2 linked regions of the Saccharomyces cerevisiae S288C genome follow. The gene in region 1 interacts genetically with each later gene. Each region holds a gene or a part of one and is shown on either strand. Other genes may lie near its edges.

What was found. Genes that interact genetically often act in the same process or in processes that back each other up.
Region 2: mutations in SSN8 (region 1) and OCA6 together harm fitness more than expected from each alone (negative genetic interaction), as found in Saccharomyces cerevisiae (3 studies listed by BioGRID).

Annotation. Positions count from the first base shown.
Region 1 is NC_001146.8:583,585-588,090, forward strand, and holds SSN8 (cyclin-dependent protein serine/threonine kinase regulator SSN8), read right to left. Parts: upstream 1,708-4,506; coding exon 736-1,707; downstream 1-735. Other genes in the region: KSH1 (Ksh1p), read right to left, coding at 3,018-3,236; EFM6 (putative protein-lysine N-methyltransferase), read right to left, coding at 3,523-4,263. UniProt on the Saccharomyces cerevisiae protein: Component of the SRB8-11 complex. The SRB8-11 complex is a regulatory module of the Mediator complex which is itself involved in regulation of basal and activated RNA polymerase II-dependent transcription.
Region 2 is NC_001136.10:581,571-585,291, reverse strand, and holds OCA6 (protein-tyrosine-phosphatase), read left to right. Parts: upstream 1-1,826; coding exon 1,827-2,501; downstream 2,502-3,721. Other genes in the region: ubiquitin-specific protease DOA4, read left to right, coding at 1-353; DOS2 (Dos2p), read right to left, coding at 647-1,579; RTR2 (putative protein-serine/threonine phosphatase), read left to right, coding at 2,794-3,384; RRG1 (Rrg1p), read right to left, coding at 3,508-3,721.

The sequences.
Region 1 (4,506 bases):
CATGTATTGAAGGCATAATAAAAGAAACCAAATAATTTGTAGAACAAAATGGCAGATAATTGTGCTAGAAGATAAATACTTATATATCGCACCATCGTTATTTTGAGTTTTCTTTTAGTAGTTCGTGTGATTGCAGCAATGCGATCTTTATCCTCAACCTCATTTCACACAAAATCAAGACTATGATGCTGTTCAATTTTACTAGTCCGTGTCCACTTATATATATGCAAAAGTATTATCAAACACTTTAGAAAAGGAAGAAAATGTTTTTGAAATAAGCCAACATGTTCTAGTATTTTAACTTGGGGGGCGTTTAATATTTCTGTTAGTTTATCAATTTGGCCTGCCATAAGAATTTCTGACAAAGGTTTTGTGGTTGCACATACTCTGAAAAATGGGGAAGTTTGAGCCACGGTTCACCCATCTTGAATGTGTGTTATAAGTGGGCTACTGCAGTAGACCAAATTGAAAGGATTTTTTGAACACTGGAGAAAAAAACACTAGGTTCGATTCTTTAAATTTAATACATGTCAAGGTCCGACCCAGCTTTCCACCTCAATATCAAAGCAATTTTTAATTATGCATTATAACGGTACCTATTCTCAATATGTCTTGACGTTCCAATATCATGTTAAACAAAGGTAGTCAAGGACGAAACATTTCCAAAACGGATCATCACCACCATAATGATTGAATTTACAGGCTTAACGGTTTTTAAATTTATTCTTCGCATGATTAAATTGCAGATGCTGGTCTAAGATACAAAGTATGTAGCAGAAACTTTATCCATTGTTCGTGGTACTTGTCCCAATGATCGTATAATGTAATTTGCTCTTGAATCGTATCCATAACCTCCTCAAGATCTACAAGAGATTCTGCCATAAAACGATTAAAAGCTATTTGAACAGGAGAACTAGAATTTTTAGGATCTCTGATGGCTTCAGAAGCCGCAGATGCTAACGATGATCCTTTGGTTGGTTTCCCATGAATGGAAATCGTAATGAATAAACATGCAACAGCGATAATATGAGGAGGGTAAAGCAAATGAACATCATTTATATAACTGTCGTTGATTAAGGACCAACAGTTTTGTAGATCATCTGACGATAGTGTTATTTGAAATGGCGGTTGCTTTAAGACTTGAACAATTTGCTTTAAGGATTGATAAGGGTGGTGGACAATTAAGTAACTTTCCAATTCTTCTAGTAAGTAGAACTCAAACTCAGTAACTTTAGTAGGGTCAGGAGGAATAAATTCGGGCCATAAGGTACGGGCTTCACTTACCAAAGTTCTGATATATTGCGGGCATTCTTCAACTTTGCATGCTAAATATACACACGTAGTAACCAGCATATATAGGTTTATTTCTCTAACTGAAGCCTTTATTAAAAACCTTGATAGATAAATATGTGCTGTAGCCAGTGCATACTGTCTTATATTTAGTCTCCTTCCAAGCTTCATTATCAGGAAATAGCAGTAGATCCTTAGATTATAATCTTTATCATAGTGTAAGTCTCGGTGAGTTATTGGTATATTCTTTGTGATGGATTGTTCGATGCCGTTTTGCTTCGAATCCATTACAATATTCAAACCTTGAGGAAACAGCTGGCACTCCAATAGCCATAACTTCTGCCTCTCTTTAGCCAATGATGCCTTGGTATATTGCCAATGATGCCTTTGTGTAGATGTCCAGAAGCTCCCCGACATGTCTAACTTTTGAGATTCAGATGCCTTATCGCTCTTCAACTAAAGTTTGAGAGGGCATTTTTTGTTCGAACAATATGAGTGCTAACAAGGTTGCTACCACATCAATGAACTCTACTCCTGTATGAACCCTAATTTTCCTTCATGAAAAATGAATTTTCGATGTTTTTCCGTGGATTTTATATTTTTTCAAATATATAAAGGAGTAAGAAAATAACTTTGTTTATCCTATGTTGCGGTAAAGAACTAAATAGTGGTCTTCACCTGTTTTCTAATTTCTTCTCGTTTAAAGTTCTTCAATCCATGACCAAAGAATCGTCACAAATCGAAGCTTACAAAATGGAGTAAAATTTTTTTTACTCAGTAATATGCTTTGGGTTGAAAGTCTCCCACCAATTCGTATGCGGAAAACGTAATGAGATTTAAAAATTTTAAATTGTTTAAATCAACTCATTAAGGAGGATGCCCTTGGGTATTCTGCTTCTTGACCTGGTACCTCTATTGCAGGGTACTGGTGTTTTCTTCGGTACTGGATTCCGTTTGTATGGAATCTAAACCATAGTTATGACGATTGCTCTTTCCCGTGCTGGATCGAGTAACCCAATGGAGCTTACTATTCTTGGTCCATGGATTCACCCCTTTTTATTTTTTTAACAGTTTGTTGTTTACACTACTTTTTAGCAGTGTAAAACTTTTGCATAGTTAAATATGCCGAACTGATCTAATAAAAAGTCTGAATAACTCAGATGAGTTATTTATTGGTAAACTTGTGTAAGAAGAAGATGGAATAGTGAATAATTCATCAAATGATGAAATACCAATGCAACAGAGTCAAGCTCTGAGTTTCAAAAAGAAACATGGACGAGATTGCTTTTTTATTACTGACCATGATTATTCATTACTTACCATTGTTCCTCATTCTATATAATTGATTGGGCACCACGTAAATTCTTGAGCCTTTTCGGTAGTATTCAATCGCAATATGGGGTAGTTTACGGAAGTGCTGTAAATGATGTCTAAAATGAACAACTATGCGTCCTTATTGTGACAATGAATTCCCTTCTTAAATCTCTATAGAGGTCGAATAGATGAATACTCAACACAAAACACTATAAAATAAAAAAAAATACAAAAGTGTTTATATTTTTGCTGTGCGTGCTAGCTCATAGCACCCTTACTTGTACGCTATCAGACGATAGAATTAAAGAGACACTTCGTCTGAATCCACTTATACTCTTTGTTTTAAAAGGTACTGCACCTTCTATGACCTTGATTTGCGTAACTTTAAATCCATATGACTAAGTATCTTCCAATCAGCTGTTAAATTGACTGATGGCCATCAAAATACATGCTAAACTAACATATGGACTGGCCCTTTCACCAACACGTGCCATTTTCCAGAAGGCCCCCAAAACCTCATGATTTTTGTAACGATCTAGGAGAGACGGCCACTGCCCATGAACATAAGAACATGAACAAATCAGTAACAATATCACTTGCAGAAGAGAACGAAAATTAAATAATGCAGACATATTCTGTCGTGGAAAAAGGACGCAACTTTGCAAAGTAAATCGATCCGGCTCTCTAGTTATTTTGCAAACGATGTTTACCGCTGTTCTGTCTTTATCCTTGAGTTGTCGTTGCTCACTCTATTGAAGATCAAAATTTCGCTCAAGAAGAGCAGTCCCACCATGCGTACACCACACTACAAAAATGAATGTTATATCGTTTTTTCATGAATTACAAATGTCTATCGAAAAGTTCATTACTAAATATAATAAGATCAGGATCATTAAGAGATAAATTCACTGTGTCAGGTTACTTCCTGATAAGCTGAAACAAGTGGGTTCTTTCCTTAAGATAATGTTCAAATTTACTAAAATCTGTAATTTCAAGAACGTCAAAATTTCTTTTAATCTTGTTGAAAAAATGTTTATCAGCTTTTCTTCTCTTCTTGTAAGCCATCAAGATTACAGGTGGGTTTATGCAGTGAGTGAGATCAAGTAGTGTTTTTTCTAGTAATGGAAAAGCTTCCTCGAGATACACACAATCAGCTGCCAAAACTAGATCAACGTTATTTGCTTGCATAGCACCTTCTTGAGGTGAGAAATCTGCCGACAGCGGCTCACCCCACCAAAGTTCCCTCGCAAGAACTTCATACTGAACTTCGTCCAGTTCTATATTTCTTTTCAATAGTGGTATCAACTTGTCAATGTCCGTAACATATACTTTAGTGCCATCGTGGAATGTGTTTTTTTCCAACAACCCCACGCACAATCCAACTAAACCTGTACCACTACCCAATTCTAAGACTTTTTTAAATTGTTTCGTACCATTGACCGTCTTACTTAGCAGATGGTCAACTGATTTCTCGAGTATGTACTCGCACAACAGTTCGCCAGCGATCCAGACTTTACCGCCACAACCACTTTCACCGCCATCTTCACAAATTTTCAATGCAGGCAATAATTTTCCACCGAAGGAAAGGTCTGTTTGACCGAGATGCTCCTTTGGCCTAGGAACAACTAGATCTCCAAACCCACCAAATATACTCTCCATACTCAATACCTCACTAGTCGCGTTTTTATAACGTTCTAGGGAAAATTATGGGCCATTTTTTTACATAGAGCCTGCTCATCATAACTTTTGAATTATTTAAATACGAAGAATTACTTTCAGTGTTTGGGTGTGAGGGACTTTTCGTTTGGTCAAGCCAAAAAAGCTTAAGAGAAAAGAAAAATCTCTTCTGGTTTTACTTGACTAGGTTTCCAAATTATAATATCCGTATTATTAACGTGACAC
Region 2 (3,721 bases), on another chromosome or scaffold:
TAAAGAGATTTGATAATTTATTAAACAAAAATAATGACTTCGTCATATACCCTTTTTTGTTGGACTTGACTCCATTTTGGGCCAATGATTTTGACGGGGTTTTTCCTCCAGGTGTTAATGACGATGAACTACCAATAAGGGGACAAATACCACCTTTTAAGTATGAATTATATGGTGTAGCATGCCACTTTGGTACTTTGTATGGTGGTCATTATACAGCCTATGTGAAAAAGGGATTAAAGAAGGGATGGCTATATTTTGATGATACCAAATATAAACCTGTCAAAAACAAAGCCGATGCAATTAACTCTAATGCATACGTTTTGTTTTATCACCGCGTCTACGGTGTTTGATTCATTTGAATAAATAACTGAAAACCGTTGTCTATACACTTTTTTTCCCGTTCAACATGGCATATCATTATTTCCATCTAAGGTCAAAGTAAAAAACCCTAAATACAAATGATTTATTTTAACGGTAACAAACGAACTTTTTTTTAGAAGGTGTAAAGATGAGATCACGCCCAGATTTTGTCTTCCTCCTGTGCATCTCTTGGATTGATGATTTTCCTTTCTACCATAATACGTCATGAAAAGTATGTAAATATTTATAGCATTACATATATCTTTTATATGAAAAAAATCACTCATTCCCAGTCATCATCGTCGTCGTCGTCCTTGCTCTCATCCTTGTTGGCGAGGCCAACATGGTCACTAACATCTTTCAATCCCTCTTGAGACACAGCAACTTTCGTCTCCCCTTTAGATTTGTTGTCAGCTACTGCTTCTACTTTGTCATCATCTTCTTCTTCTTCTTCGTCATCCCACTCAACTTCTTTTTCCTCCGTTTCCTTTTCCTTTTTGGACAATATTTCTTTCCTTTTACTTTCTTTATCTAGAATTTTGTTTCTTTGTAAGAAATAGATGTGCCAGAAATCTTTATAGCTGATTTTATGGGGTACGATGTCGTTCATTAATTTGGAGATATCTTTGTCGCCCTGTAAAATAGAACATATCTCCTCAGTTTTTTCATCCACGTCAAACGGGTCCAGTTGCAAATCCATTTTATTGTCTAAATAAACCGATTTATCTTTAGATAATGTCCTTAGTTCGGCTTCTGTTCTATTTCCACCCACAGCAATTTCATTTTCTTTCGAATTCTCATCCTTGTCATTAGAGTCATTTTCTGCAGCATTATCGAAGCTACTGAAGCCAGACCAAAAATTCTTAGTTTTCATTTTGCTCCAATATGACTGGGCTAGACTTTCCACGCTGTGAATATTCTCGTCTAGTTTCTTCAAATACTTTTGTGCAGTCTCTGTAGTTTCATTGCTAATTGGCAAGTTAATTTCAATTCCGTCATCTTTCTCGATTACTAACTTTTTGAATGCACTTGTAGTCTTTTCATATCGTTTATTGACTTCCTCTTCTAACTTTTGGAAGGCCTCATTTGTTTTGTCATCTCGGCTCTGAAGTTCGTTATTTTCAGTGTTTTCTGTTGATCCAGTTTCCTTGGTATGAGAGTTGCTTATTTTATCATCTTCGATACAAGCTACTTGTTCTTCATAAAAGAATTCCATTTTATCCTAAAACGTCGAAGCAATGGAGCTCACTAGCTGTACCCTTATGTTGTGTTCTTTTTTTGTTGCATGACTTCTGCTAAGTGCTTTTTATCATTAATCACCGCTATTTGATGTAAGGCCAAAAAAAATGCGAAAGAAAAAAAGAGACTCTGTTAAGAAGGAAAGGAGTACCAATATAAACTATGGGTTCACAATTGCTATGAATACCCAGTTCACACATCTAGAATAAGCTATATGTATCAAAATGACACTAGTGACTCCGTTACAATTTTCGACTGTACAGCCAAATTTATATAGAGGATCTTACCCACGAGAAATCAATCTCCCATTCCTGAGAACCCTTAGATTGAAATACATATTATCTTTGACACCAGAACCTTTGAGCACTGATCCTCTAATGGTAAAGTTTTGTGAAGAAAATAACATTAAGACAATTCATATAAAATGTCAAAGTGAAAGAAAGGCAGACAAGACCAAACCCAAGATTAAAAGGAAAAAGAAAACAGTTCCTATTGAATACGATGTTGTAGTACGATGCGTTAAATTTCTGATTGATAAAGGGCATTACCCCTGTTATATGCACTGTACGAATGGTGAATTGATAATATCTCTCGTAGTAGCATGTATGAGAAAGTTTTCATATTGGAGTACGGTATCCATACTAAATGAGTTTTTGGTGTATAATTCCAGCATCAATATTCATGAAAGAAATTTCATTGAAAACTTTAACTCTGAAATCGAAGTTGACGATCTGGATATAAAGGATAAAGTTCCCTGGATTACCGTGCGATATATTGCAAGGACAGCCACAGAATCAAAAGATGAGTTGCGTGTTGATGATGCTAATGCGTCTGAAAAAGTTGCAAGAGTAAGTAGCGTGTCAAATTCTTTGCCAAAACTAAAATTTCATAGTATGTAAAATTCAGGGATAAATTCATATAATATTTTGTAAAGACAGAAGCTTCAGGGTTAAGTCTTAGCCGGGCCCTCCAGCATTGATAATCATTTTTTTCAATATCAAATGCCATTGAAAAGTCCAACGAAAATTACATCGACTTTACAAAAGAGACGAGCCGGTCACATTCTAGTATTGGCGAAGATTGGAAGCCATTTATCAACAGCAAGGAGGCATTCTGGAAAAATTGCAGCATATTTAAGAAAAGTGATAGGTTTATTTTTATACTAGAAGGACAGGAGCAACGCAAGCCATAATGCAGATAATAACCACTACGTTCATTCAAAAAGTAATTTTAGGATCACACCAATTACATGAGCAATTATCTATAGTGGAAGCCCGAATGATTGAATCTGCCATAGTTTCAATGCTCACAGAATCATTTTGCGAAAATGAGCAGACATTAAAATACTTAGCACGGCTACTTTCACCGATGTCTTATATGGATGTTATTAATGCAAGAAGGGGAAAGAAAATATGTGGGTACCCGCTATGCTATAAGAGTGCGGCAGAAAATTCATCTGATGGCTTCTTTATCCACTCAATGTATTGTAATAATTATCACAGTAAATGTTCGTTGTATTTAATGAGACAGTTATCACAAACGCCTCTGCATGAAAGGCGAGGCGTGCATTTAACTAGTTACATTAATCTAGAGTTTGATGATATGTACTCGGTAAGCCTTTTAGAAGAATTAGTTGGAAGTGAGGTACCTATAGATACCGTCAAATCGCTGATAACGAGTTTCAAGGATCTTGAGTTTGATGATACCTACAAGAATGAGCCTTTACCATTGGATGTGTACTTTGGACAGTTGACTACTGATGAGGAAACCTGTATAGAATAGGAAGTATAATTAAATCGTCTTCATCAGGATCCTTATCGCGGTCATACGAGTGACTATTTACATAGAAATGGAAGTAACCAGTAAATTTTCTATTAAACTTTCTGATTCACGCAACTTTTGCACTTAAAAACCGTATTTCGCCAAAACACTTGGCAAGTCCCTCCCTTCTATAAAGAGTGTCACATATGGTAATGTTTCTTTGCTCATTTTTCTGAATAGTGTCAACCGTTTGGCGTACATTTCTTTTGACTTTTTATCAAAATATGCTAGTTGGCCACCGTTCTTTAAAAGCTTTTCCTTATATTTGTTAAAGTACTCCACTCTTTGAAAACTTTTG